Linked DNA regions of Tamandua tetradactyla. The protein of the gene in region 1 interacts with the protein of each later gene in a pairwise test. Links are inferred from orthologs where the notes say so. Each region holds a gene or a part of one and is shown on either strand. Other genes may lie near its edges. The genes, in order: RINT1, AIRIM, SFR1 and EPC1.

Region 1 (7,881 bases):
ACTTGTTTTAATTGGGACATTTTTAATAAATTGCTAGTTTAGCTTAGAACTATAAACTAACAACTTATTAAATTCCCCTTTTTAAAAGCCATTCTGTTTCTGGTATATTGCATTCCGGCAGCCAGCAAACTAGAATGGGGGTAAGGGTAAAAGAAATTAGGTAGATGGAAATACTGGTGGTCAATGAGAGGGAGGGGAAAGGGGGATGGGATGTATGAGTTTTTCTCTTTTCTTTTTATTTCTTTTTCTGGAGTGATATAAATGTTCTAAAAAATGGTCATGGTGATAGATACACAACTATGTGATGATACTGTGAGCCATTGATTGTACACCAGATATGGAATGTATGTGTGTGAAGATTTGTCAATAAAAATATTTTTTAAAATAGAGAAATCGTCACGCATATACAGTACATACATGGTATATAATCAGTGGCTCACAATATTATCACATATTTGCATATTCACCATCATGACCATTTTTAGAACATTTGCATCATTCCAGAAATGGAAATAAAAAGAAAAAACTCATACATCCCATACCCCTTACCTCTCCCTCTCATTGACCACTCATACTTCAGTCTACCCACATTTTTACCCTTTATCCCCCCCCACCCCGTGCGTGTTTGAAAGGCGTATGTACCCTAGAAAAGCCATGTTTTAATCCTATTCTATCTTGGGGAGGCACCCTTTCTTTTAATCCCTATTCAGCACTGCAGGTTGGAAATTTGATGAGATTACCTCCACGGAAATGTGCACGCCCAATTTTGAGTATTAACCTTTGAATAGAGGGAAATGTGACTCCACCCATTCCAGGTGGGTTTTGATTAGCTTACTGGAATCCTTTAAAAGAAGAAACATTTTGGAAAAAAACTTGAGAACCATAAGAGCCCACACAACCAGAGACCTTTGGAGATGAAAAAGAAAAATGCCCTGGAGGAGCCTCATGAAACAAGAAGCCTGGAGAGAAAGTCAGTGGGCGTCGCCATGTTTACCATGTGCTTTTCTAGTTGCTTTTCCAGGTGTGAGAGAAACCCTGAACTTAACAGGCCTTGCTTGAGTGAAGGTAACCTCTTGTTGGTGCATTATTTTGGACATTTTTATAGACTTGCCTTAATTTGGATATTTTTCACAGCCATAGAACTGTAAACTTGCAACTTAATAAAAAGTCCCCCTTTTTAAAAGCCATTCTGTTTCTGGTATATTGCATTCCAGTAGCTAGCAAACTAGAGCACCGTCTATTATTTATTATTTTTATCCTTATTTTTTTTTTACTCATCTGTCCATACTCTGGTTAAAGGGACATCAGACAAGATTTTCACAATCACACAGTCACATTGTAAAAGTTGTATTGTTATACAGTCTTCTTAAAGAATCAAGGCTGCTGGAACACAGCTCAACCATTTCAGGTATTTCCCTCCAGTCACTCCAGTATACCATAAACCAAAAAGGGTTATCTATATAATGCTTAAGAACAACCTCCAGGATAACTTCTCAACTCTGAAATCTCTCAGTCACTGAAACTTTGTCTCATTTCTCGCTTCCTCTTTTGGTCAAGAAGGTTTTCTCAATCCCATTATGCTGGGTCCTGGCTCATCCATGGACTTCTGTCCCATGTTGCCAAGGACATTTACACCCCTGGGAGTCATGTCTCCTGTAGGGAGGAAGGGCAGTGAGTTCACCTGCCGAGTTCACCTCTCTGGCTTAGAGAGAGAGGCCACATCGGAGCAACAAAAGAGGTTTTCTGGGGGAGACTCTTAGGCGTAATTGTAAGTGGGGTTAGCTTCTCCTTTGCAGGAATAAGCTCCATAGGGGTGAGCCCCAAGATTGAGGCCTCAGCCTATTGAATTTGTTGTTCCCATTGCTGTGAGAATATCAGGAATTCCCCAGATGGGGAAGTTGAATGTCTCCTCCTTTCTCCCCAGTACCCCAAGGGGACTTTGCAAATACATTTTTATTCTCTGCCCAAATTACTCTGGGATGTAGTGTTACATCACACTAAGCTGTACAAACCAACAGGATCTCATGCCCTATTCATGATTCCATGTAATTATGGTGTTTAAATAAACTGATCATACAAATTAAATTAGGAAATGCACTACCCAAAATATAAATTTTGCACCAAATAAACATTCTCCCTTTGGTCTCAAGTTGAAGTTTTAAAATATGGGCCATATTATCCTTTACCCTATATTCTGATTTACCTTAGTTCTATCCAAGTCAGCTTCATTCATATCTCTAGTTGAAATCTGATCACTTTTTCAACTTTTTAAACAGTTGCTGTATAGGGTAATGCTGACTTCTGTAGCTTCAATGCTCTAACACAGAGTTTCAGGTGTCATAAACATACCCGAAGTTTCAGGGAATGACCAGGTTATACTCAATTAGCTAAGTATCTCAGAATTTAGAAATAACAGTTACAATTCCTGAATATGTGTGACTGCTGAAAGAGCTTATAATTTAGAACCCTTTACAATAGGCCCCAACCTGACAACCCATGCTCTTGATTCAATTTTTTGAGTTTATATAGTATAGCCAGTCCATGTGAGTGAGGCATGATCATATTTCTTTTTGTTTCTGCCATTTGATTCAACATACTGCCCTTAAGTTTCATTCACCTAGTTGCAGGGCTTACAATTTCATTCATCCTTGCAGCCACTCAGTCAGTTGTACGTATATACCACAATTCCCCCTTCCTTCTCTCAGTGGTTGTACCCTTAGGCTACCTCCATTCATTGGAAATCCACCAACCAAGTCCCATACCTATGCCCCTGGCCCTAAAGCCCCCGAAACTCCTAACCTACCACAGGGGGCCCCGTAGGCATCATCAGCACCCCCACTAGCTAGCCTCTATCTAACCCCACCGCCCCCAGGGGGGCGTGACTTCCCCGCCCGCACCCTGAGCACCTGGACCCGGGAACTCCCCCAGGATAATAAACTTTTTTAAACTTGGACTCAGTTCCTCTGATTTTTCAGTTGGCTATCGTTTGAAAACATAACATTATCTATTGACTTCACTTAATGGAAAATGAGGATTTGGTTCTTCTTCCTTTCCCTTATCTTCATCACACTTCTCATATCTCTATCTGTCCAATAAAGTTCTTTTGTGCTTGTTTTTAGAGCTTTGTTTACTTCATTTTGATGAGGTAAACATTATTCACATCTTAGGTAAGTAATAAACCATGATTACTTCACTTTTCCTTCAAGCTTTTGTTTTTTTCTATAGTTAATGATCTTCTTTTGGTTTACTTATTCATCATTCCAAATCCAAGCTCTCTACTAATTGTTGAAATCTCCCCCTCCAGAGGATGAGATACATGAACTGTTCTATCAATTTCTTCTTTCTGAAGAATCTCTTCTGGAACCTTCTGACCTGTGTGGCTCTATGCCTAGTGCACAATTATGGCAATTCACTTTATTTTTCTCCATTGTTTATTTTCTATTTCCTATATCCTGTGTCTTCTTTTCCTTGTTTACTCCCTCATTTTAGGGGAGTACAACCTCTTGCTACTTCCTGAGAAAGGAGAGATAAATGAAACATATATTTTTTTAATTCTTGAATATGTGAACATATCTTTATTTCAGCTCAATCAAGTATAGGATTTAGTTTGAAATAATTTTCCTTTTGAAATGAGAATTGCTTCTCTGTTTTTAGCTTCCTTTGTTATTGTTGAGAAATCCAAAGATTTGTTGAGAAATTAACTTTGTAAATTATCTATTTTTCTCTCTGGAGGTTTAGGATCATCTTTTTGGCCCCCATGTTCTGTAGTTTCACAGTGATGAGCCTGGACACTTAGTGGGCCCTTTCAATCTGGAAACTCATGACTTTCAGTCTGGGGAAATTTTCATGAATTGTTTTGTTGATGATCTCCTCCATGCTTACCTCTTCTCATTTTCCCTTTCAGAAGTTTTATTTTTAGTTTTGGAACCCTTGGACTGGTTCTCTAATTTATCTTTTCTTTTCAATTTTCTATCTCTTTGTTCTTCTGCTTTTTTTTAAAGGATATTTCCCAACGTTTATCTTCCAACTCTTTCACTGAACTTTTCATTTCTGCTATCATATGTATAGCTGCTTGTCTTTGAATGCTACTTAAAAAAAATCTGCTCTTTTTTTTTATGGTTGTGATGGTATCTCATACCCCTCTCAGGATATTCATAATATATTTTTTAGTGTTCTCCTCATTGAACGGTTTCTGTCTCCTCTAGCTTTCTTAATTGCTCAAGCAAGTTGTCCCCACCCCCTTGTGTTTTGGTTTTTATCGTACTATTTTCTGTGCTAGTTTGTTTGTGAAATTGTCAAATCCCCAGGTCCTCTCTCTACTCCTTGCCACTAGGTAACTCCTCTTTCTCTTTCTTGTCAAAAGATAATTTGTGTGCGTATGTGTGTGTGTTTGTGTCTGCACTGGGCAAAGTGTATGTTAGATGTTAGGTGCTGCGACCTCTTCCTCCGTTCAGCTCTCAGAACACTTACAATCAGATCTGCATCCTCCAGGCAGGAAATTGGACGATCATCCGAAGAAAACCTGACCAGCCTCAAAAGAAAGATCCAAAAATACTGACATTGGAAATTCCCCCAACTAAATAGCCCAAACTAACGGCTCCTAGTCGACAAGCTCGCTCACACTTTCGGAACATCTTTAAGTGGAAGCAGAAAAACGAAGGACATCATCTTAAATGTAAATTTAAATACTTTATACTGAATTTGTGGCGTGGAGGGAGGAGTATCGTCAAGCTGCATAATAGAGCGCCCCAACGCCGCGTACGGGGCTTTACCATGGTTGAGAGGAACCTTACTCCCTGCAACAGAGGCGGCTGACTCAGTTCCTGGCCGGCAGGGGGAGCTACGCCGCGCGGCCCGCGACTGCGCGGACCCGGCCTCTCTAGTCGGAGAGGAAGAAACCAGAGAGACGGTAGGAGGAAGTCTCGGTGGCGTTTGGTGTTCAGAATTGAAGTCTGTAAGACTGATCTGGTCTTTCGTCCCGGCAAAGTCTCTGGCCCGGGCTGTATTCCACAGTCCACACTGGCTGCGCATCAAGCCGAGAACACGCGCGGAGGCGGGATGCTCACGGCTGACGAGATCGGCGAAACGCCCGCAGCCCCGGTGAGACGTCCGGGTGAGGGGTCAAAGTAAGGTTGCAGAAACCTCCCGAGAGAGGTAGTCCCGGGAAGATGGCCCTTGTGACCTCGGTAAGGTGGCCCGGGCCACTCCGGTGAGATGGTCCCACAATCCCCAGGGAGGTGGCATTGGTGGCCCAGATCTCCCGAAAGGGTTAGTTCTGGTGAGAGACCCTACAATCCGGGTAGGTGACACGGGCGGTCCCGAGGGAGATGCCCTTGCAATCCTAGTGAAGTGGCATGGATCTCCCGAGGCATCTTGTCCTGGTGACGTGGCCCTGGCAGCCCGATGAAGTGGCTCTGGCAGACCCGGTGAAATGGCACAGACCTCCCAGGGAGGTGGTCGTTTTTGAAGCGGCATCGGACCATTCTAACCTTTCAGGAGGGCACCAAGGAAGGGGTCTGGGACTGCTCGCCCGTCCAGTAGAACCCTGCCTGAGTTCCACCCAGAACTTGGGTCTTAATGTGTTTGTCACACCTCCTCTCCTTTCAGTGCTGTCCTCAGAATGGTGAAGAAGAAAGGAAGAACGTCGAAGAAAAAAGTAAGCAGGCTTCAAACACCTTAGTTTTTTCTGCCCGGCCATCACTGAAAATTCAGCCTTCCGAGGTCCACATCAGAGAAGGGGTCTTACTTATCCTGTTATTTTTAGATGAGGCGTCTTTTTTCTGTACAATAAGCTTATATAATATTAAATACTGGTTATTTTACACACATTTTTGTCTTAACTTTATAAAATTGTAGAATATGGGATGCTTTGGAGAAGATCACTTCCTGATCCCTACTTAGTGCAGGGATTGGTGTTTTCCGTGGAGTTCTGCCCATCATACAGGATTCAAAATAACCTGGGGACCTGCCTGTCATTTACAGTGAGTGAAACACCAACTCATTAAGCATCATGAAATTAGGAGGGACTAATTACCTAGGAGATGTGACCACCACCTTAAATGGATTCGGAAGAGTCAAATGATGACTATTTAGTTGTACTTTTAAACATCAGTGTATTCGCAATTAAAAATTGTCGTGGGATGAGCACAATGGATTATATATAATCTGGATCTTGATCTCAATGCAGAAGGTGTATAAGGTCAGTATCTGCCTTTCCTCCCTAGGATAGAAAAATATGTCAGGATATATATGTTTGTCATTTTACTATCATGAACCGAGCATGGCAGACTATTGGAAATAGGAATCATCAGAAACTTTTGAAGTGAAAATTTATTGGGAGAGTAGGAGGGAAAATACATAATAACTATTCTGTTAGGAGCCTTTTGGTTCTTCTGACCATGCAAAAAGTCTGCGAAGAGTAATGGTAACACTCTTGTACCCTTGTACCCATGTTACCATATGGCCTTTAGGAATCAAACTTACCCTTGACATTCCCACCAACGTATTCTGCCCCAGAAAGAAAACTCTAAGTAGTGCTTAGCATTTCACATTCATAGCCACCAGAATTCAGCTCTTTTTCCTTGAAGGATTTGAGGCTAGGACCCTCCAACTCAAACCCTTCCCTTTTGTACTTTTTGCCCCATTCAGGTACCTGGGAAGTTTAATACCTGCTGAGCAGTCATTTCAGTAAAATGATAGATGTTGATTTTAGCATTTGTCCTGTCTCTGCCTTGGTGGCTCAGTTAATTACTTTGCAATTTGGAATGCTCTTTACAAAAAAATAGAGAAAAATAAAAACCTCCTGTTTTAGCTTCCTTAGTTGCTCAAGCAATTACCATGAATTCGTTGGCTTAAACAATGGGAATTTATTATTTTACAGTTTTGAGGGTAAAAGAAAGTCCAAATCAAGGCAATGCTTTCTCCCCAAAGACTGTGGTATTCTGAGGCAACTGCTGGAGATCCCTTATCCTTGGTCCTTAGCTTGTCATGTGACAAGGCACATGGCAGTGTCTCCTGGTCTCTCCCTTCTCTTCCAGGTTTCCCAGATTCTCTGTTTCTGGCTGTTCCCTCTGTGGCTTTCTCTTTGTCTGAATTTCATCCTGTTATAGAGAGCTGTAGTAATAGGATTAAGAATCATCTTGATTGAGGTGGGCCACACTTTAACTGAAATAAAGTCATCAACAATACCTACTTACAATGGATTCACTTCCATAGGAATGGTTTAGGTTTAAGAACACATTTTTCTGGGGTACATACAGCTAAAAATCACCATACCTTCTAAATCACCAATGTGCCATTTTGAAAAATGTTATTTGATTAAGAATGTACTATGCTGGGTGGACCATGGTGGCTCAGCAGGCAAGAATGCTCGCCTGCCATGCCAGAGGACCCGGGTTCGATTCCCAGTGCCTGCCCATGTAAAAAAAAAAAGAAAAAGAGAATGTGCTATGCTGCATTTAAATGGTTACATCAAAAGGGCTTAATTTTTTTTTTAATATGTAGATATAATTTACTTCTTAAGGTACAGCAACAATAGCATTCACAAAACATCCTGTTTCTTCATAGCTCTACCTCCATTTGTCTGCAGATATACCACACGACTCACTTTTGTTTTATATAAGATAAATAAGAAAAGAAGGCATTGTGACTTCTGTACATAATAGTGATGGATTTCTGAACTAATAAAGTTTTGGTGCAGGCCAGCCTATTCTCCTCATGTGTGAAGAAGAAGAAAATATTTTGGGTTAAGAGTTTGGAAAACATGAATTTTAGTCCAGTTTCCAACTTCTAAGAGTAGCCTGAGGCAAATTTTATAGATTTATTTTGTAGTTGGGAAATTGAGCTGCAGTTTTTTGTTAGTTTTGCTTCTGGATCTCATAG
Region 2 (7,991 bases), on another chromosome or scaffold:
TTCAACATCATTAGCCACCAGGGAAATGCAAATCAAAACCACAATGAGATACCGCATCCCACCCACTAGAATGGCTAATATTTTAAAAGTCACTAGAATGGCTACTATTTAAAAAGTGGAAGATTACAAGTGTTGGAGGGGATGTGGAGACTCAGGCACTGTTGGTGGAAAAGTAAAATGATGCAGCCATGTGGAAGAGAGCCTGGCGGGTTCCTTAGAAAGTTAAGTATAGAACTACCAAATGACCAAGTGGCAATCCCACTTCTATTTAAGACTGAAAACAAGGACTCGAACGGGTATTTGCACACTAATGTTAACAGTGGTATTATTCACAAATGCCAAAAGATGGAAGTAACAAGATGAATGAATAACAAAATGTGGTATATATACAATATTGTGAAAAAGAAATGAAAATCTGATGTATGGCACAACATGGATGAACATTTAAGACATCATGTTAAGTGAAATAAGTCAGACACAAAAGAACAAATATTGTATGATCTCACAGATGTGAAATAATTAGAATAAGCAAATTCAAAGTCAAAAGCTAGATTATAAGTGACCAGGGGACAGGATGGGGGTAGGGAAGGGAATCAGCGCTTAATGTGCAGTTTCTGTCTGGGATAATGGAAAAGTTTTGGTCATGGATGGTAGTGACGGTAGCACAATACTGTGAACTCATTTAATAGTACTAAATTATGTACGTGAATGTGCTTAAAATGGGAAATTGTAGGTTGTATATATGTTACAAGAACAAAAATTTAAAACAACAATAATATGGGACCATATGATTCAAACAGTGAGCCTAATGTAAATCATGGACAATTTAACAACAGTACAATTGTAAAAATGTTCTTCCATCAATTGTAACAAATGTATCTCACTAATGCAAGGTGTAGAGTGGTACATGGAAACTGTATTTTATGTGTGATTCTTCTGTAGACCTACAACTTCTCTAATAAAAAAGACAGCATAAAACAAACAAAATAAGCCTTAGCTGTGACACCTACTAGGTTTACAGTATAGCTCCTCGTTGCTTTTCATCAAAAAAACTATCAATTAGTGCTGATAAGCTTCCTCCACTCCTTTGATACCAGCTTTTCTGTTCCGCTTTTGTGACCTCAACTAATTTCACCACTACCATATTAGCCTCTGACAAGGAAAATGTCTGAAAATGGCTTTTTGACAAAGGTCCAGCTAAGCAGGCAGAAAAAGAAGGATGAGAATTCTCTAATGTCATACTCTCATGTAAGGAGATAAACACTCTCTGACAGGTGCTGGCTACTGATCAAACACCCAGATTCAAAATATTTCTGTGAAAAATTCTGAGCCTCTTACATCCTCTCCCCGAGCTTGTCCAGGACAGTGTCACCAGCCTCCAGCTGCTTGCGTCTCAGCCGCTCCTTCAAGTCCGGGAAGGCCCGGAGCGACGGCACCTCGTTAAACCGCAGATTCTGAGCGGCTTGTAGTTGCTCTGCCAAGTTGCTGAGGGAAGCCAGGAGGGGCTGGCAGTCCCTCAGAGTACTTTGCCACAAGCTGTGCTGCGCCTCCACCACGGGAAAGCACTTCTTCAGGGCCTCCTGCACAGCAAGAGATGCCCGGTCCTGAGTCATCTTCTGCTGAATACAAAAGCAAAAAACAGAAACAAACAACAACAAGTGTTAAGGTCCCAAGTCAGAATGGGGAGAACGGGGTCAAGGGTGGGAATTATTTCGTCCTCCTGTGAGGTCAAGCTCTTGGCTTCCACCCTCCAACCAGGGGGTTCCTCACGCAGGTCTGTCTATCCCTTCAGACCTGAGCTCCCGGCGCGAAGCGTTGTCTTTCCTTCACAAAGGGCTCTGGGAAGAGTCCCTTTTGTTTGTCACCTCGAGCAGGGTTTCCCGACTATCTCTCAGAGGTAGGTCAATCTCCTGGCTCAGAATGCGGGTTCCCGGGGCAGAAACTCTGTATTCCCCTCAGACCGATGCTCCCGGATCCGGAATCTTATCTCCCCTCCTTGAAGCTGCCTACCCCTTTCCCTAAACCAGGGGGAAAAAACCTAAAATTAAGACAACCAAAGATACGGCAGCCGATGGGACAGCCACCGCGCGCTCGCGTCCTTCTGCACCCGCCCCAAAGCGACCTCCCCGAGAGCGCCTCACTAGACCACCTGGTCTTGCGAGCCGCGGACGAGCGTCGTCGGCCCGCAATGACTTCTGGGTGTTGTAGTCCCGGGCGCGGACTGGCCGCCGGATACTGGAGCTTCCTGGTGATTGGATGTTGTGGGACCTTTCTAAGACGGCGACTCCTCATTCGTTAACCTGGGGAAGTTGGATTTGAATTTGGTGGCGGCGATTGTAGGTCCGGTTCGCTTCAGAGCCAGTCCGTCTCAGCCGGAGCGAGCAGGTTTACCTCTGCCCTTGTTTGGGGACCCGCAGGTTCGTGCTTTGCTTCTTCTTTAAGCCCGGGCCCGGAAGGGAGGGAATCCCCTTTACTGACTCCCTTGGGACGCTATCCGGCCTCCCCCCCCCCCACCCCTCCGCCCCGTCGCGGCCCCCTTATTTCCCCTCTCTCTACTGCCCCACTAACCTCTTGTGACTCGGTCCCCCCTCCCCGTAGCCTCCACCCACCGAAACGTCATGGCTCCTGCGAGGAAGGGCAGCAGACGAACCACCAAGACCAACTCTTTGAGGAGCCGGAAGCTCGCCTCCTTTCTCAAGGATTTCGACCGCGAAGGTAAGGGGCACAGCCGGGTGGTCGCGGCTTCCCGGGCGATGGCTGGGCCCTGGTGGGTTGGGGAGCAGGGAGCAAGATTCCAGGCCCCTTTCACCCGCCGGGTGACCCGTATCCTGTTGATTCTGTCCTCTCGCAGTGCAAATGCGATCCAAGCAGATTCAGTCAGACAGGCAGAACCTCCTCAAAGAGATGGATAACTTGTACAACATCGAGATCTTGCGGCTCCCTAAGGCCCTGCGCGAGATGAATTGGCTGGACTACTTCGGTAAGAGCTGCTGGAATGGCCCTAGGCTTTGGCCTGGATCCCCTTGTGGTTACCGTGACAGGCTTTATAAAGGACTAGCTCGAACGTCATCCTCGTAGTGAAGTCTTCCCTGACAGCAGTTGAAAACTGCAGCCCTCCTGCCCAGCGCCTCTTTATTTTTCTCCATAGCACTTATTACCATCTAATCCATGAGTAGGCAGACTTTTTCCATTAAGAGCCAGATAGTAAATATTTTAGACTTTGTAGGCCAGAAGGTTCTCTGGCGACTACTCAATTTTGGTATTTTACCTCCAAAGCAGCTATAAGGAATGCACGTGACTGTGTTCCACAAAAAAATTTATGGATACTGAAATTTGAATGTCACATAACTTTCAAGTGTCATGAAATATTATTCTTCTTTTGACATTTTTTTCCAACCATTTTAAAATGTAGAAAGCATTCGCAGCTTGCAGTCCATACCAAAATAGACAGGAGCAGTTTGCTGACCCCTGATTTAGTCTAATATATATTTTCTGTATTTATTTTTGTTGGTTACATATCCTTTCACCCTACAACCAGGATTGTAAATCCATAAGGGCAGAGTAAGAATTTTGTCTGTTTCATCTGTAGCCAGAAGAGGAGCTGACAAGTACTAGGTGCTCAATACATATTTGTTAAATGATTAAATGAAAAACTTGGTTTGTTATTAGAGCCCAGGTAGAGGGATAACCCCTAGGCAGTGCTTCCTGCAGATTATGAAAACCGCCAGTTTAAAAATGGCCAAGTCAAATTGTGTAGTACAAGAACCTGAGACTTTTCCTGGCCAGAGGAAAATCTGTCTTTTCCCCACTGCCTTGTTAAAAGTCTAAGGAAATGCAGGAGGCTGCCCTTTGTGCTAAGTTATCCTTAATTTTTCCTCTATTCTTAATTACCCAGTAGGTAGCCTCCTTGGATAGAAATGCAGGTTCTGTGTATGCAGTAGACATGTAATGATCCTTTTAGCTTACTCTTTTAGTCATTTGCTCATTTCTACAAATACTCATTGAGCAGGTATCTGTCAAAATGCTAGGTGCTGAAAAGTGCATTGAGGAATAAAACACACTTGTCCCTGCCCTCAGGAACTGATGTTAGTGGAGTAGGGTCATTTAAAAGTTCACACACTTATTATATAATTAAAATTGAGTGGCAGTCAGTAAGCACATTTGTCATGTTTACTATGTCACACAGGCATTATACCATATGTTTTACGTATGTTTACTAGATTTATCCTCATAACAAACTTATTGATTATAAGCCTATTAATTATTAATATTATCTCTTTTAAGGCACAGAGAGATTAGTTACTTTGCTTAAGGGCTCATAAGCTAGTTAGTGGCAGAATATTTGAACCCAGACATTCTGATTCCGAAGTCTGAGTTCTTAACTGTTATATAGGAAGAATGCTATGAGAGTTTCTAGCAGGAGGGCCCATCCTAACTTATATTCTCTTTCTAAATCTTTGAAAGATCTCTTTGTTAAGCAAATATTTGCTGCACACTTAACATATTCCAGATTTTTGCCAGATACTATGAAAATATTATTTTTGTCCTCAAGGAATTCACAGCCCAAAGCAAAGTTAGATACTGAACAACTTCGAGTAGTTGTTGTGGAGGAAAAGGGTGAGCAACTAACTTAGCTCTTTGTAGCACCCTGCTTTATAGAAACATAAGCTAAAATTTAGGGAAAAGGTAGACCTGAGTTCAAATTTCAGTTCTTTCATATACCAGCTCTGTGATCCTGGTCAAGTTGCTTAGTCTCTTTAGCCTCAGTTTCCGTATCTGTAGAGTAGGGATTTGAGATTGAGTGAAGCATGGTAGGTGGATTGTTTGATACATAGGACAACTTTCTGAAGTGATGACATTTGACCTGAGTTTTAAGGATGAATTAGGAGTTTGCTGGGTTCAGAGAAGTACTGCAGGCAGAGGAAATAATAAGTATCAAGGCACTAAGTCATGAGCGACAGTGGCACATTTGGGAAATGAGAAGCTTAATGTGGTGGAACACAGAGTAGGTCATAATGAATAGGAGGAGAAGTCAAGGTTGGAGAAAGATTAGATTGTAAAGGTTCTTGAATTCTGGCCCAAGGGTTTAATCATGTCCAGTTTTAGAAATAACTGATAGTGTTAGGGAAGGTGAGTTATTGTTAAAATCTGATAGTAACTAAATAAAATGTTCTGTTTAAAGCCCTTGGAGGAAACAAGCAGGCCTTAGAAGAGGCAGCAACGGTAAGTAACCGCTCCTATTTTTTAATTGTTGGTTAGTTTTATCCTTAGTCTAGTCATAAAATCCAACCAATGGTTGCTTGTTGTGGAAGAGATCCATAGGGAACATTATCTGTTCATGTCAACTGAAAAATTGTAGTATCAGATGCTGAGTACATGAAGTCCGAATAGTTCTGAGTTCTGAGTTATAGAACAGATTTTATCATTCCTGCCGTAACTACTACTCTGATATTTGTATGTGCTCTGTGAGGAAAGGACTTGGAATCATGCCTGCTCTTGGCTATACCCATACATACAGGTAGTTACCACTGTGAGCAAATTTAATTAGAATGGCCACTGGAAGCCTTTTTGAAGAAGGCTTCTCATGATAATTGAGAGTCTCAAGACTTGCCAAGAGTGAGAAGTATGACACAGGACCAGGTATTGTAGAGGATCGTTAGGAACTTGTATTGAATATTGAAGCAATGTAAACAAGGATAACCACTTTGAAAAGCAATTTGGCATAATATCAAGGCTGAACCCTTGAATAATCTACAACCCTGTACTGCCCTATCCTTAAGTATATAGCCAAGAGAAAACGTGGATGTGTGCTCCAGAGACATATATAAGACAGTTCAAGGTAGCAGTATTTATAGTAGCAAAAAACTATCGATGGGAGAATGAATAAATCCCTTGTGATATAGTCACACAAACTGTTATATTGCACTGAAAAGAGATTAGCTACAACCACAAATGCAGTCAAAAACAAGCAAAGCAAACAAAATACTTTTTAAGCATGCAAACATTTGGAAAAAATATTAAGTGCATATATAATGTTTGTTGCATATACATACATACATACTCATATGCACATAACACACGTATTTATTTATTTTTATCTTTTAAAGAAAAGGTATTCTATTATTTACTCTCTGAAATAGTCCTGTAAGAACAATATGCACCAAGTTTATTTGAAAGGATTAGCTTCCTTTCAAATACAAGAACTATTTAAAGCAATACTGTAAACAAACTGGTCACATCACATATCTATAGTGCAGGTTTAAGAGCTGCAAATATATAGTTTTTAATCTTAAAGCTAGATATTTTCATTGAAACACAGTGTTTTTACATAGACAAGGTATTGCTAGAAAAGAATTTTTGTTCAGGCTTTATAGGAATGAATCAGTGATATGTTCCACTGAATTAGTGTCTTTATCTGCTTTGATGACAATGGCTGTAGGTAGAAGTGCTTCTGTTTAGCCACCAAAAAGAGACACTCTTGTTCCTTAGCTTTATTCTTCAGTCTTAAGGTTTATTTCTCATACTATATCTGAATCATAGCTAATATTTTCCAGTTTAATTCGAAGAATACTGTAACACATACAGACCAAATTGAGACAGCTTAGAATTCAGAGATCTTAATAATAGAGTACAGAAGAGAAATTATGTGTATGACAAAGGGATAAAAAAATTATTGGCAATCTTAAGCATACCAAACTAATTTTCCTACTCAAAAACTTCTTTTTTTTCTTTTGGCTTTGAAAGGAAAACACTAGTTTCGAGATGGGTTTGGTCTTAGACTTAGTGAGACAAAATAAAAGATATGTTGTTTCATAAGTCACAAAATGACAGTATACATTCCTCTTTTTTTTTTGGAAAAAAGCTCAGTAATCAATACTGGAGAAAATAATTTTCAGTAGTAACAGTATATATAAATAGAGAGGGGAAATGGACTTATTTTAGCATATTGTTATGACTTTCAAGAAACATAAACTTAAATTTACAGAAAATTGGAAGACCAAGTATAAGCAGTGTGGCATTTGCTTCAGTGTCTGGCACTATCATAATGAGTTCTAGCATAAAAGCAACAAGTTCATGGACCTCAAGTATGAGTTTTATAGTTTACAACTACTGTCCTTGTTTCTTTGAAAAATACCTTTACCAGTATTTGTGGTTTAGCTCCAAGAAGTCGTTTAATTTTGCTCTTTCCTTGAAGTACTGAGTTAATTTTAAAAGTTCTGTCTTTATCTCGATTTAGGTGAGCTTTCATAAAAGGTCTTATCTTTAGCTCATTCTATGGGATTCATTAGAACGTTTCTTCCTATGTCATCAAACGTAATGGTGTTTTTTTTTACTGTAAAATCCAAAAACTTAACACCAAGAGGTTTTATGTCGATTAATCCTCTCCTTGAGTATGTACTGTTGACATAGCAGCACTGTCCAACTTGAAGATAATCTTACAGTTTGCATTTTGCTTACTCCCAGTTCTTTCATTTTAGTTTCAATCCACTTCATATTTGTGGCAGGCCAAATAACAATGTCATAACCCTCATATTCAGGTGTTAGGAATTCTTGAAGATAGGGCCGCATTAATTCTAACCTAGTCTCTACACAAGACCTGTGGCCAAATAATGTATAATCAACAGCTAATACCAAAAGCTTTTTCCCTTCCCTGGAGAGGATTCAGAACTTCCACTTTGTATTCTTTAACTCTGCAAGAAATTTTCAGCAGGATTTCTTTCTTATTTTCTACTTCAACTACTTCATCTTCAATATCCAAGTCAATGACATGATCATCCTTGTCAGGTGGTGGACCTCAGACATCTTCCAAGCTCTCCTCACGAGTTCCCATCATCATGATTTCAGTATTTCGTTTCCGTTTGAGAGCTCCAAACGTAGTATCATTTTCTGCAGGTTTGCCTGTAACTTTGAGTCCAAGTAACTTTTGGTATTCTGGCAATACTCCTGTAAGGCTCCTGAGAAACTTTAAGATCTAGCACAGCATCTTCTTC
Region 3 (7,443 bases), on another chromosome or scaffold:
TAAATGGACAGGCTTCCTAAAGCCTATGAAGCTCATCTTTGCAGACAAGAACAGAAGAAGCATTTTACCACTTCCTTATGAATAACAAAGTGACCAGCAGTAGCCTTGGGTATCAAAATTTAAAAACACATACACAGACATCCTAATTTAGCTTGTGCATATCTTCAGCAACATAGGAGTTGAGTTTTAAATATCCAACATTTATACAAAGGCATAGATATACAAATATCACAAAAGATGGTGTTTATAATGCTTGAAATTAAACATTTACATAATAATTAGCAGTTCTCGAGATGCTGACATCTAATTCCTCTTTTTACCAAATGAATACAGGGGTGACATATTGGAGTAAATAAAGGATCTGGGAAGGATGTGGCCCTGAGCAATGCTTTTATTCCCATTTTCTTTCTACAGTCTAACTCATCTATCATAACGTCCCACATTCAGGCTCCCCCACCCTCACAGTTATTAATCTAACCTGAATCAGTCTATTCTTCTCCAAGAGAACACACCCTATAATAGCAGTGAATCATAGACACTCTTGCTTCTCCAGTCTTTAATGGATTTGACAAAATGCCAGGTCTGGTGGAATAAAAGCCAGGAATTACAGATGAGGGTAACTCTTTAGGCTCTTGTTTGGTGTAATATCCTGAACATTTTATTTGCCTGGTATGGAAAGGTTTTGATCACATTAAGGTATTGACCCTATCATATTTCCATGTTCTAAGTAACCATCCTACTCAGTAAGACAATCTCTCAGGCATGCTAAATCAGGGACTCTTTTATCTTGGGATTGAAAATAAAATCCTCTCTTGCTTATTTTGGCTAAAGAATATTAAATAGATTATCCACAAAGGCCACCCTTTGGTAACAAGGCACTGAGAGTCTTCAACAGTGTCTACGAGTGAAGCAATTATGCATGGAATTTCATATAAGATTTTTAGGTAATAGAGAAAATAGAAATAGATTGTCAATTATCCTCAAAGGGAAATTTATGAAATTACAGAGACTAAAACATCTCTTTATTTGGTAGGTCTGATAAAATGTAACTTGAACTCATGGCAAGAGGAACCTACAGAAGAGTTTCTGAAGGTGATTTTCAACTTATACGCAAACGTCACAAAAAATATTAAAACCAGTTAAGAATTTAGCACATTATATTGTGTGTTATAAAACTCTATGAAATCTATCTAAAAAGTTTAATTTCTCCTTCGCATTATAAATCAACTTAATCATGTGGATTTTGCACAATTCCTCACCCAAGTAGATTTAATTCTAATTTTAAAAGTGTATTTTCATTATATGTTATTTTTCACAATAAATTTTTTAAGTGTATTTTCATATCCTTGTTTAAAAAATACCTATAGATGCATGATATCAAAATATTTTTCAATGCAGAAAAGCCAATGAATTGCATGGAATTTAGGTCACCTTGAGGTTACTGTTAAGATTTGAAAAATAAAGCTACAGTCAAGAATTAAAAAATAATAAATCTTGGTGGTGCAATGGTGGCTCAGCAGGCAGAATTCTCGCCTGCCATGCCAGAGACCTGGGTTTAATTCCTGGAGCCTGCCCACGCAAAAAAAAAAAAAAAATCTACTGAACTTTTTTTTTGTTTTAATTATGAACTTTTTAATGGTGGTTAAAAGATGAGTATGTGTGTAGAAAGAGAGGGAGAGAGGGGGAGGGAGAGAGTGTGTTCATTATTCTTTTCATTATTCTCTCCTTCCCATTAAAAAAGTAGTTAAAAAAAAGTCTCATAAAGATTTTAGGTTTATGTCATCACCCCACCAACAATAATCACAGACAAGAACAGAAGAAGCATTTTACCACTTCCTTATAAATAACAAAGTGACCAGCAGTAGCCTTGGGTATCAAAATTTAAAAACACATACACAGACATTCTAATTTAGCTTGAAATTAATTACTATTATCTTTGAATTCTATTGTTCTCTATTTGGTAGGGTAAGGATAGCTCACTGGGACAGTTTTTTACTCTCTTGAAAAAGTTTCATATGAAACATATAATATCCAGTGTCAGAAACACCGAACTGCTTTATAGACCAATAGATTTCAGGGCCCTTTAGGGAAATGCATCAAACGATACAAAGAAAACTACAGGGACAGATCTCAGATCCCTTACACTAAACTGAGAGGGGAAGGTTGGTTTCCACATTGGTACGTGAAGGGAGTAAGTAAACACAAATTTATATAAGGAGAGAGCATTCAGTTTTAACAGTGCATGGAAGTCAGAGATATAGGTCAACGAATGCACATTTCCGAAATATATGTTATTCTAGGTACTTATTGTGAAGTTCTTTGAAAATCTGGCCCAAACAATCCCATTTTAATATACCAATTCACTTAAAAATAAGCAAGTCCGAACACTTGCTGGGCAAGATGTTATTTTCCTTTACGAGCCAGCAAAAACACAGCTCTAAACTTAGGTTGTAATGATAAAAGGATTTGGGAGCAGCTGACTTTAGGGAATCATAAAAACAATCCACCCTTATGCCCCAAGGTATATAGAACATGCAGAGTCTGCATTGTGCTTCCAGTGCCAGGACAAATCGTTTTGCTTTTTGCAGTGAGATTACCTGATGCCAATGGGTAAGTTAAGAGAAATTAATGTACAGATTGAGACCTGTGGTCTCGCCTGGTGAATAACTCCAGTATCACAAAGTCATGAGCTCTCTTCTTTGACTTTGTAAATTCCTTCAGGTTAACTTTTATAATTAATGAAAAATTTAGAAGTGGAATTTGTGTTATTGATTATATAGAGAGACACCAAGATTTCTGCTATTTAGGGTTTAATTTGTGAGGGAATTTTCAGAACACAGAATCTTTAAAAAATAATGTGGCCTTATTTTGGGCAGTGTGAAGGAATGAAAGAATTGAATCAAGTAGGGAATGGTGAATATACCTGCATATATAAATTGGAAACTATTGATGTGTCGATGTCTAATGTTGCTCTAATTGCCTCTCAAGAATTCTCATTTAATCCTCCAATCCCTTAGGAGTAAGATACTATTATCCCCATTTTAAAGATGAAGGAACCTATCAATACACAGAGACTGTACATTATTAGGTTTAAAAATAATGGAGTCAGTATTTGAACCTGTGCAATTTGACTCCAAGGTTTAAGTCCTTAACCACTGAATTAGATTGTCTTCAGGTTCTGTATTTGGACTCCACAGTTTAGGACTCAGTTATTTCCTTCTCAGCTCTGACTACCTCTAAGCCATTATTTTGGAAATTACACTATAAATAGCAATCTTATCTTATTTTTGACAAATTTTACATAGGATCTGTATTTCTCCCTACATAAGAGAAAGTTTAAGTAGCACCAAAGAGCTCAGATATTAGTAAAGATACAAAATTGTCATTCAATAGAAGACTCAAAGCACTGGCCCCTTAAAATTCTCAACATTCACTTAACTCAGAAATTACTCTTCTCTCTTCCCCTAAATCCAGTGCTCTACCCAATTCAGTTAACTGCATTGTTGCCTAGCAACATAGGAAAGGAAGTGGATTATCAGAGACTAAGATTTGCTGCCAGCGCTTCAGCAAAGACCTCTGTGCCTCAAACATCCGAATTCTCGATCAATACCCTCCTATTTAGTGACTGACTGCTTCTTGTACAGCTCCACAACAAATTTCCTTGCATTAAAATTTCCCTCAGATTTGACTAAAAGATTTGAAGCCAGACTAAGGTGTCTAAATTTTCAGGTAGATACAGTATTAGACAACGTGGTGGCGAGACTACCAAATTTGCAGCAGCATAGGTTAGAAACTAGTTGGAAGTTCGCTAAGGCTCTTGGATAAATGTATAACATGTCGGATTCTCACTATGTCATGTAACCCTAAAGCTGCTCTTTCGAAGTCTCTGCCTTTGGAGAGTTTACACATCGTAAATTTAACACACAGCTGGGGGGCTATGTGTCCCGTCAAGTAAGAGGAAGAGCCTTTGCTGTGGTGAGCGAGAGACCAACTGGCGGCCAGCGGAAAGGGTGGCGCAGGGGACGACCACTCGTTCAGGCGTACTTCACAAAGAAAAGAAGGAGGCGGGGAGGGAAGGCAACTGAAGATAAGAGAAAGAAAGCGAATCTGTAAGAGGAAGCATGCCCTCTTCATAATCACTTAAGCCTTGTGAACCTCAGCCCTGCCCGGAACACCGAACCGAAGCTCACAGCAACGCGCGCGTCGTGTTGCGGCTCTGGGAGGCCGGGCGGAGCAGCGCGCGCCAGCCAACCCGGCAGTCACGTGTCCTTCCAGGCTCTCGGGTGGCCCGCCCCCTCTTCGTTGCCGGGCGGAATAGGTTAGCGCGCGCCGGCCAGCCCGGCCAATCACGCGTCTGTCCCGTATCTCGCGTGGTTTCGACCCGTTTTGGTTGCCGGGCGGAACGGAGCAGAGCGGGCCGGTTAACCCGGCCAATCACGTGTCTACCCGGTTCCTGGTCAGCTGGAGGCTTTCCGCCGCGGAGGCTCGCGAGTTCTGCGGGTTCTGGGAGTGGTGGAGGGCAGTAACCTCCTGGGCAGCAAGTGGTTGTGTGAGAGTGGGACTAAGTCCGGGGTTTGCTGTGGAGTCGAGTTAAGCCCCGGTTCTGCAGTCAGGGTACCTCACAACCCACCTCAAGGCCCGGCCTCTCGAGGGCTAGCCTGGTATTTCTGCAAGGGTGGGCAGGAAGGGAAGGACACCGCCCACTCGGTTCATCTTGGTAAAGTTGATGCCTTTGTTTGAGGAAACAAATGTCAGTCGACTCATTTTCAGGGTTTAGTTACAGTAAAATGATGCAGACGTGTAAATTTCCCTCTGCTTATGTCCCATTTGCCTCAGCCCTGGGGGGTCGTTGATCCCCCTCTCAGGGGTGGTGTGGCAGGTCTGATTGATTTGGGGGTCGAGATTTCGGCCGTGTTTCCTTTCATTATGAAGCTGTCATACTAAATTGAAGAATTCCTGACTATCCAAAGTTATTTTTCCCCCATATGTCCACCAAAGAAACGTAGGGTCTTTATTGCTAGATTTATTTACATAAATAATGTTTATTTCGTAATGTTTTTAATGTTTTGTGCCTATTTAACCCATGAGTGCAACATTTAGAGAACGATTAAGGAAGACAAGATGTGACAGAAGTTGGAGATATTTTTGATAAAAACAAACAGGGAGACTTGTTTAAATGAGATACTTAGCCAATTAATCTGTCATGAAAAAACTAGTAGTCACTTTCATGTGGAAAACAGCCCTGCAAAAGAGCAGAAATGAATTGCAACTAAATGAAATTAGAGGAAATTACTGGCTTACTTGTGGGTGTTATATACAAGAATCAAAATTTCTTTGATAAGAATTGCAGATTATATAGAGTTATGGATTAATTTGATTTCCGTTTTGTGGATATTTTTCATTTTTACAGGTAAACCAGGATTTCTTCTACAAGATGGAAAGTCCATCAGACTCAGCTGTGACGTTATCTACTATGTCACAGGACTATGAGGATCAGTCTCCCCATACCAATAGTTCAAGGCAACAAGTAAGAGAATATTAATTCTTCCAGTAAATCCATTCCATATTTCTAAGTTTTGGAGGTAGCAGCTTTAAGTTTACTGAAGATTATTAGTATAATATGTTTCATTAAAAGGTAAATGTATTTTATTAACTATTAAATAATTTTAGATTTTTCTCTAACATAATGTATTTGATCTCAAAATTCTCATCCTTAATTCATTTAGTTTCTCATTGGTTTATTACAACAGAGAAAGTTTAAATCTGTGCAGTAGTTATCATTATGAAAATCTTTGGTGGCAGGACCTAGGTTTTTCCTTTAATTTGTAACTCTGAAATGCACATAGAGTAGTTAGACAATGCTAGTAGCTCAACATATGTTTGTGGTTACTGGGATAAGCTTAACACTCTTAATGGTATTATTGATCAAGCTAAAGTAAAAAGAGTAAAACTAGCGGAGCTTCTGGGAATTAAAACAGTTTTGTGGTGGTTACTGTAAGCAAATGGAGACAGGAAGCCATCTATTGGTGTCTACCAGAGAAACGTAGGGTCTTTATTGCTTGATTTATTTACATAAATAATGTTTTTTTTTCCTTAATGTTTTGTGCCTTTTTAGCCCATGAGTGCAACACTTAGAGAACGATTAAGGAAGACAAGATCTTCATTTCATTCTTCTTATAGCGTGGTAAAACGTCTTAAAGTAGAGAATGATGAAAATGATCAGAACTTTTCCAAGAAACCAGCATCTTCAACAGAAGAAAACTGTTTGGAATTTCAGGAAAGTTTTAAAGACATAGACAGTGAATTTGAAGAAAGCACATATTTGAAAAATACCTTCAAGAATATCAATACATGTGAATCTAAGTCACTTGATTTGGGGTCATGCGTTGCTCTCCAAAATGATTTTGTGAGTGAGAATCACCCTAAACAAGGATTCAAAGAAGAAAAAACAAAATTGTTGAAGCAGGTTGAGGAGAAAGAAGACCTTCTTCGAAGGCTAAAACTAGTCAAAATGTATAGATCAAAGGTGAGAAGAATTTCAGAACTATTACATAATATTTGTTTTTATTTAAGAAATTACATTAAAGTAATTTCTAAAGTAGAAAATAAATTTAGTTTAGCATAAGAAGCAATAAGCCACATATCCAGAAATCTGGATTCCAGTAACTTTAACTCAAAAATAATTAGAAGGGGCCTCTAAACACCTAATAGAACATTGGAAAGTCTCACCTAAAGCTACTCACTTGATTCTCATTTAATGTACAATTGGAGCTTTTCTCTCTAGTTTCCAGCCTTGAGCAATATTAGAAATATCAAATGGTAGATGCAAGTACAATGGGAACAGAAGGGACAGCTGACAGTGAATAAGTAAAAAAGCTGAAAGTGGGCCAGAGAATATAATAAAAATTATCTTTAGTAGTGATATTGTGTTACCCCCCCCAAATAATTAAAATGTTCCAGGCATTCTGTTTGAAAATACAACAAATATGTATTAAATTTTATATTTAAATCCAGATAGGTTGAATAAAATCGAATTTGGGCACTTGGATTATGACTTACCTGGATAATTCATATACATGCAATAGCTCATTCTCCACTAGCAATGTGGAGTAAATGATGGATTAGCATGTGCCATTTGTTCTTTTGAATTTTTAGGATTTTTCTGAACATGACTACTTGAGTTTTATAAGATTTTGAATGTTGAAAATATCTTTAATTTGAATTTTGTGTTATTTTAAAGTATAGTTGTACTAGGAAAATAGATTTTTTAACCTATATTGTTGTAAAACATAAGTTTTACCCTATTTAATGAATTTTTTTTTCCATGAGGGGAGGGATGGCTCAACGCTTGGACCAAACACAATAACCACAGAATTCAAGTTGAGTGGCTTTGTAACCATTCTTATTTTTCTCTGGGTAGAAGGCCCATTCATTTCTAGTTGT
Region 4 (7,398 bases), about 75 Mb from region 1:
CTATGTCTTTCCTTTTAGTATACAAATATGCACACATCTCTTTCATCTTCAAAAGCAATAAAACCCTTGGCCTGAATAGCTTTGTGTCTCTCCTTCCCTTCATTGCCAAGCTGCATGAAAGAGTAGTCTACCTTGAACATCTCTCTTTTCTCACTTTGCATTCACTTAATTAATTTTAACCTAGTATCTTTGGCCCCATTCTGGAATCAGACAGCCAGAGATTCAAATCTCAGTATCACCTCTCATTGGCTTTGCAACCACAGGCAGGTCATATCACCTCTCTAAGGTGAATATCTCTCTACAGGACACACCTCATAGAGCTCTCATGAAAATTAAATGAGAGAATACATTGAAAGCACTTCCATACTGCTGGTGTATAGCAAAGGCTCAATCAATGGTAGTTATTATTCTTAATGATCCAAAGTATAATAGGAGTTCGGAGATGAGAAAGATGGGCATAGGCTTAAGAAGAATTATTTTTAGTTCACCTAAGTTTCCTTATTCTTGAAACTAGGAAGTTAGGGCCCAGAGATGTTGAATAGCTAAAGAAAGCTTCATGGAGGAGATGATATTTGAGTTGGATTTTGAAGAATAATTAAAAATAGTGACATCTGTCAAGGGTTCGCAGTGGCCAAGTGACAATTTGAATGATTTACATGGATTTTATTCAACCCTGAGACATTCTGTGAAGTAGGACTTCGGTGGCTAGTAGATGGTTAGTCTGAAGGGGGAGAAGGAAGACAGAGAGAAAAGAGTGAAAAATCAGAGGCAGAAACATGTGATGAGTTCTAAAGACAGTGTCAGAAGCCAGGATGAAGAATTTGTCTTAGAGGTCTGATGTTGGATAGAGAAGGCAAAATTATGGGAGGTCTTAACAACCTACCAAAGAATTACTTTATTTAACGAACAAAATAAAGAGTAGTTGTGGTTTGGTGGCAGACACTGCACCATGAAACCCTGGAGGGCAGAGTTTCATGACTAACTCCCCAGGGGCCCACGCCTCTACCAGCCACTACCACTAGTCACTATTGGGAGATTACCAGCAATTTTGACAATATAGGGAATAAAGGCTGATTGAGGGAATGAATGAATAAAAGGTGGATTGGATTGAAGATTGTTTCTACATGTGATGTGATGAAAGCTTGAACCATGTCTGAGACAGTGGAAATGGGAATAGAGGCAAATCTTCTATTTTCAAAGAAGAAAGTATGGACTAGGGGATATACTGGATGTAAGCTAATATTCAGAGCCTTATTTCAGGTTTATTATAGAATGCAAAATGCAGTGTCAGAGCAGTTGTATTTGAAACGTTCTCTCTTTGAAGTGTTTGATTTTTTTAAAAGCAGTAATTCTGCATTCAAAACAAATCACCTTTCAGGGTGATGATATTGTAATTCTTACCACTAAAACTTAGGCCTCTTTACTTTCTACTCCTACTCCCTCCACTCACGTTCTTACCAGTTTTGCATAATACTTTGATTGTTGTAGGAGTTCTCTACTGAATGCTGGCCAAAATAAACCCCCTCATCCTCAAACACACCTAACAGTTGCCCTTCCCAACCCCAACTTTTGTTCATTTAATTGCTTCCTCCTGTGAATGCCCTTCTACCCTTTTCTAAACTCCCATAGCACTCACTACATTTCACTATACCACCTAGTACTGGTCATTTGGTTAACTGGTTATCCCTTGGCCAGTATCTTATTTGTATCCCTTACAGTGAGGTACCGTGTATTGCCTAGTTATCCAATAAGTATTTGTGGCATGAATGAAGGGTGTTTTAACTAACTGCAAACACCTTTCCAACAAAGAGTTTCCCATTGAGGAAATGTTATTCAGCTTTATACTAGTATACGTTTCTTGCATCATGTTGAGAATTTTTCTTGCAATGTTGAGAATTTCATATCACTTTTGTTGATGTTTAGAAAAAGAAGTTGAGAGTAGAAGAGAAAGTTAAAGTAAAAGAAATTGCAGGAGTAGGTATTTTGCAAAGAATCTTTTGGTGGGTTAAAGGAAGCTGAGGAAAATTAAATCTGTATTTTCCCTTCTGCACACCTGACTCTAAAGAGGGAGGGAAGTGAACCAAATATATGAGAGGCTTGGGACTTCAGCTTCTGGGTCGTTAAGAACCCAGTAGGAACTGGGAGGTAGAAATTCAGGACATTGAGGACCTGGATGGAGAATCAATGCAGAAAAAAAGATGTCTCTAGCATATTAGTTGCAAAAAAAGCAAGCTGAAAAATGTGTAAGCATCTCCAAAAACCTGTCATGGAGAGCAACGCTAGAGTTTCTTAGAAAACTTACCTGTACAATGATTTTGTTACTAATGTAGTATGAGGAAAATGTTATGCATAAGCTGTTATTTTTAATGAAGGTAAGATGTGTTTCCTTGGTTCACTCATAACTTAAGACCCTATTTTGTTCTATAAAGTCTTAGGTTCCTCAGTCACAAATTTAACTACTGGGATTCGGGGAATCTCATATTCTAGGCTAGATGGAAAGAACTGTTATACTCATTTCAGCCAGTATTTTCAGAACTGTTAAATCTGGCTAAATAGGAGTCATGCTCCACAGTGGAATTGGCAGTTCTTTGAAGTTCCCAGAATGTGACATGCTGAGTGTCTCAGGCATAAGCCTTTGCAAGTGCTTCCTTCTAGTTTTTTGTTTGTTTGTTTGGTTCGTTGGTTGTGTGTTTTGTTGTTTTTTGCATCATCTCCAAGAAGCCTTCCCTGACTGCTTTCATTATAGCCACTATCCATGGGTTGGGTGCCATTCCTGCTTGTTCTCACTAGCCTGGATTTCATCATAGCAACTTACCGCTAAGTGTGGCAGTTGTGATTCACAGGTCCTTCCTCCTGGAGCCCTCTGGGTGCTGAGCAATCAGCAGCACAACTGGAAGAGAGCAAGGGCTCAAGGTTTGCTCTTTGGATGAATAAATGCAGTCTTGGTATAGAAAATGTGGGTGAAAGTCCCTCTGCCTCACAGAGTTTTAGCATAATTTTGGAGAACTACAATCTATGCCTCTCCTTGTCTTTTCCCCACCCCATTGAGTATAGTTAAACCAACCTGGAAGATAACAGTTTGCTTAAGTGCCCTAAGCTAATAATAGTTCATACCCAACCCAATATTTAAGAACACTGGTTATTTTTATTATGTAGCCCTATCCTCTCCCTGTGAGGGACAGACTTACAAAATACTTTCGTTATCTTTTGAAAAGATGTGAAATTTTGTTGCCACCTCATTAAAGCCACCCAAATAATCTTAACGATTTTTAAAATACTACTCTGGAGAGAGTTCTCTGGACATTCATTTTCCTGTGTAATATAAACCAAATGTCAGCAATGTATTACATCTATCTAAATCTCTTCTAATAATTCGTTTCCCGTGCGCGCGCGCGCGCTCATGGGGTGTTGTTGGCAGGCGCCTGGCAGCCTATATGGTTCAGTTTTATAAATATATAATTTTTTTTATTGAACAAATGATAAAGAACCCATGGCTATGCTGAAGTCGCCTTTTCTTTTCAGTACAAAAATCACAAGCTGAGTATAAAGTATAGGCTGTTAAACTCTGAAGAAGATCTTGCTTTAATTTTTTTTCTTCGTAAGGTTACAGTATCCAGTTTCCTTTCTTTGCTCCAATTACAATAAAAGAGTTAATATGGGAAGATAAAATGTAGGCTTAAAAAAATACTTTGGAGTAGGAAACCAGCGGGAGGGAAACTGACCTATGAATTGATGAGGCGCCTATCAAATGACAGAACCCAAGTTCATTAGACGTAAAAAAAAAAAAAAATGCGGGTAAAAGTTCACTCGAGTCACATTCTGCCCCTAATTTCGTTTGTATTTTTGCCGCGGTAACTAGGCTATGCGTTCGCCCACGAATTGGCCACCGGTGCGCACCACCTCGGGAACGCCTGTCCCTGGTCCTGCCGCAGGTGGCGTTGGCAGCCTGGGCGTCGCCCCCGCCCCTCGCGCCGGCCGGGATGGCAGGTGCCCGAGCCCTCGGACCGAGCCGCAGGGAGCGAGCCCGGCCAAGGCCGCCGCCCCGCGACTCTCTCCGCACTGCCTTTCGAGAAGCCCGAGGGCGAGTGGAAATAGTTTTCCTGCACCTTCCTTCGCCTCTCAGAAGAGAGCGGTCAGAGGGAGCGAGCGTGAGAAAGTGAGCGCGTGCGCGAAGAGGAGAGGAAGCCCAAGAAGCCGGCTCCCGGCGCCTGAGCGCCTGGCCCAGCTGGCCGCCCGGCCCTGGTCGCGCCCGACCGGCGGCGGGCGGGGGCCTGAGCAGCGAGGCGCGGGGAGCGAGGCCCGCGGGAGCCGGGGGTTGACGGGACGCGCGCTCCGTGCCGGCGCCGGCCTCGAGCCCGCGCTCCCCCCCCCCCGCCCGCGTGCCCGCGCCGCTGCGCGATGCAGTGTGGGGAATGGCTGGGGTTGGCTGAAGAGCGCACAGTGGAGTTTTAATGTCCGCCATGTTGGCCATGGCGTATTGAAGAGAGCGAGCGAGAGAGGAGCGGAGCGGCACAGACTCCCACCCTCCCGGCTGGTGTTAGTGCCCGGACAGCGGGCTCTGCGCTCCGTCCCTCAAGTCCCCGGCAGCGGTAGGCGAGTGGGGACCGAACCCCCGGTTCTCCATGATCCCGCTGGCCGGGGCCGTTTCCCCAGAGCGGAGAGGTATCTGCTGCGCCTGAGATGAGTAAACTGTCGTTTCGGGCGCGGGCGCTAGACGCCTCGAAGCCGCTGCCGGTTTTCCGCTGTGAGGATCTGCCAGACCTGCACGAATACGCCTCGATAAACCGGGCCGTGCCGCAGATGCCCACCGGAATGGAGAAGGAAGAGGAGTCGGTACGTGTTAACTCCCCTGTCCGACCCACCGCCAGGCCCCGCTCCCTGTGCTGCCTGCGGCGGCGACGGAGCAGCATTCCCACACAAAATGGCCGCCATCTTCTCTTCCCCGCCGACTCTCAGTTGCCGGCCGGGTCTTTACCCCGCCCTCCCCAGCCTCGACCCCGGCCGCCGCGGCCTGGTAGGGCCTCCTCTGAGGCCACCCGTCGACCCCGGCCACTGGTACCCGGGTCCCGCGGAGTTCGGGGGCCCGAAAGGCACAAAGGGGTCACGTGACGAAGCCGCCGGCAGCCATTTTGTGGTCTTTAGTTCTTGGGCTGGGCCTTGTGCATCCGGAGAGGGGAGCGGGCTGGGCGGCGGGGTGCGGCGGGCCCGGCGCGGAGCAGGACGACCTGCCTGCAGGCCTTTCCGCGGGCCGCTGGGTGGCGCTCCAGGGTCACCTCGGCCTCCGCGTCGCTGCTGGCGCTGGGGAACGCTGGTCTATGCAATGGGGCGGTTCGGCTTCCCCGGCGCCGGGAAAGCTTGCTCGGCTGGAACCAGCCCCACACGGAGTCTCGGAGGGGGCCTGGTCTCTGAGGCTTATTTCTCCCCCTCCCTGCAACGGAGTGTCGAGCTTACTGCGTGTTTGCCCTGACGACTTTCATAGATTAGAATTATTCGCAGTATTCTCTTTCTGGGACTTTTGCATCCATCCCTTCCCTCCCAATGTTAGTTAGTCGGAGGATGATCAACTACTATCTCTGATTTTTTCTTTGATCCTTGAGAACATGTTGCAGATACGTTTGGAATACGTGGCTCTTATTTAAAGCCTATAACTTTAATGTATTTTTTTTTCTGTAAAATTTAAGTTTTTATGCTTTCTGATCTCACAACGTGGGGGGAGAAAAGACCCAATTAGATAGATCTAAATTTAGGAAGAGGGTCATTTTCTTATCCATAGTTAAACTAAAGTTTAATGAAGTCATAGTCTTAACATTGAAATATCTAAATCGGGTGGGTTTCAGAATGTAAATGTTTGTTTACAGCTAATAGACATTTTGTTATAGCTGTGGCTTCACCTTATTGTGGAAGTTGGGTTCAGACACAAGGATAATAGAATCTTCCTCTCATTTCCCCCAGATCCTTGACAGTATAACTTGATAACGTCTAATCCTAAGGAATTGCATACCTTGGTTTTCAGGTACAGCCATTAAAACAGGGTGCAGTGTATTGACAGTTCAAGGAAGTCGAGGAATCGCGTGGATATGCTACAATTTTGTTGTGGAAAATTGTACTGTAATGCTTCTCTTTGGTACTGTAAGAATTTTGAATGTAGTAATCATACTCTGTAATGTTTTTGAAAATAAAACTGTTTAAACTTGTTTGGGTCGTTTAACCTTTCAACGTACAATAGTTGTGACAGCGAATGTTACTTTTAAGAGTAGTGTGTTAAATCTTATTTTACAGATAAGCTAAGTGCATGTAGTAGTTGATTGTCTAGTGTAGTACTGACTTTTAGCACCTTGTCTATGAGACAGCATCTCTTAATTTATTACTTGTATCAACTTTAGAGTAGAATGGTACCATTTGTTTATTTTTAAACAAGTGATTTGTTTTTAAAAATTAAAATACTTGTGACTGCAGAATCTTGTCTTTTGGTTTTATTTTTGTTTCTGTTTATAAGTTTTGCAGATAATACTTTTCAAGTTGGGGTTTTGGTGTTACACTACCTTGGAAATTAATTTGTAATTCTTGTTTACAGCCAAGGGGAGAGCCTTGATTAAAGGAAGGTAACACTACAGTACAGTTTAAGTCTTTGCTTCTATGAATACTTTGAACAGTCCCAAGAGCTACCACCTAAAGTTAGAGCTACGCTTAACTGAGGCATCAATGCTTATTAAATTTACAGATAATTTTTGTTCACTGAAATTATTTTGACATTTGATAATGTGAATGGATCTCATTAGATTGCAGCATTACAGCATGTGGAGTCCCTGTGGAGGGACATAGGGATTTTTTTTTCCTTTAGACTGCCTTTAACATCATCTGTTTAGAATTTCAGTTCTCATCTACCGAATGCTATGTGTATGATCAGTGAAGCATAGCTTAAGAGTAGATACCGAACTTAACGGGGATGTAAAAAGTACCAGGTAAACAAACAAGCTGCTCTACAAACCTGTGGTTCATGCTGGTGGTAGAACATATAAATAGTGGTATTGAAACTAGCATGGTTACAATATTGGATGTGTAAGCTAAGCATAAATAAAGGTAACTGAATTCTGAGTTAATCTTGTAAAAACAAGAACTTTTGATAATTTGTTGAAGCATCTTTTATTTCTTACAAAGAAGAAGGTTAAAACAAACGTCTGCCTTTGACACATTAGGGATGCTGTCTCTTGGGTCTGAGTGACCTAGAGCCTGAATTGACTAATTTAGAAAAAGTAAATAATCCTATGTTGGTCATGAAAGATGGGGCCGATATGGATTAGGACAATTTCTTGTACTCTGCTTCATTAATAAAGCATTTCAGGAACAAAATGCATCTGTAGAATTGTCGTGAAATATCCCTAGTAATTATTACTTTAT

The links.
Region 2: the proteins of RINT1 (region 1) and AIRIM interact in binary tests that used the Homo sapiens proteins (3 or more experiments, as listed by UniProt). The two-hybrid records come from large-scale screens. The link is inferred for Tamandua tetradactyla from reciprocal best matches to the Homo sapiens genes RINT1 and AIRIM.
Region 3: the proteins of RINT1 (region 1) and SFR1 interact in binary tests that used the Homo sapiens proteins (3 or more experiments, as listed by UniProt). The two-hybrid records come from large-scale screens. The link is inferred for Tamandua tetradactyla from reciprocal best matches to the Homo sapiens genes RINT1 and SFR1.
Region 4: the proteins of RINT1 (region 1) and EPC1 interact in binary tests that used the Homo sapiens proteins (3 or more experiments, as listed by UniProt). The two-hybrid records come from large-scale screens. The link is inferred for Tamandua tetradactyla from reciprocal best matches to the Homo sapiens genes RINT1 and EPC1.

What each region holds. Positions count from the first base shown.
Region 1 is NC_135327.1:143,943,133-143,951,013, forward strand, and holds the start of RINT1 (RAD50-interacting protein 1), read left to right. Parts: upstream 1-4,863; 5' UTR 4,864-5,058; coding exon 5,059-5,100; exon of another isoform or gene 5,101-5,168; coding exon of another isoform or gene 5,169-5,186; intron 5,187-5,607; coding exon 5,608-5,656; intron 5,657-5,982; exon of another isoform or gene 5,983-6,199; intron 6,200-6,846; exon of another isoform or gene 6,847-7,103; coding exon of another isoform or gene 7,104-7,113; intron 7,114-7,881. UniProt on the Homo sapiens protein: Involved in regulation of membrane traffic between the Golgi and the endoplasmic reticulum (ER); the function is proposed to depend on its association in the NRZ complex which is believed to play a role in SNARE assembly at the ER.
Region 2 is NC_135328.1:187,625,194-187,633,184, reverse strand, and holds the start of AIRIM (AFG2-interacting ribosome maturation factor), read right to left. Parts: upstream 3,008-7,991; 5' UTR 2,981-3,007; coding exon of another isoform or gene 2,852-2,980; 5' UTR 2,716-2,851; coding exon of another isoform or gene 2,619-2,715; 5' UTR 2,610-2,618; exon of another isoform or gene 2,599-2,609; intron 2,520-2,598; exon of another isoform or gene 2,301-2,519; 5' UTR 1,795-2,300; intron 1,620-1,794; exon of another isoform or gene 1,617-1,619; 5' UTR 1,614-1,616; coding exon 1,339-1,613; intron 1-1,338. Other genes in the region: CDCA8 (borealin), read left to right, coding at 2,619-2,715, 2,852-2,980, 5,183-5,223. UniProt on the Homo sapiens protein: Part of the 55LCC heterohexameric ATPase complex which is chromatin-associated and promotes replisome proteostasis to maintain replication fork progression and genome stability.
Region 3 is NC_135339.1:66,210,619-66,218,061, forward strand, and holds the start of SFR1 (swi5-dependent recombination DNA repair protein 1 homolog), read left to right. Parts: upstream 1-4,431; 5' UTR 4,432-4,726; coding exon 4,727-4,750; intron 4,751-5,410; coding exon 5,411-5,527; intron 5,528-6,115; coding exon 6,116-6,526; intron 6,527-7,443. UniProt on the Homo sapiens protein: Component of the SWI5-SFR1 complex, a complex required for double-strand break repair via homologous recombination. Acts as a transcriptional modulator for ESR1.
Region 4 is NC_135327.1:218,877,563-218,884,960, forward strand, and holds the start of EPC1 (enhancer of polycomb homolog 1), read left to right. Parts: upstream 1-4,380; 5' UTR 4,381-4,680; coding exon 4,681-4,833; intron 4,834-5,236; exon of another isoform or gene 5,237-7,398. UniProt on the Homo sapiens protein: Component of the NuA4 histone acetyltransferase (HAT) complex, a multiprotein complex involved in transcriptional activation of select genes principally by acetylation of nucleosomal histones H4 and H2A.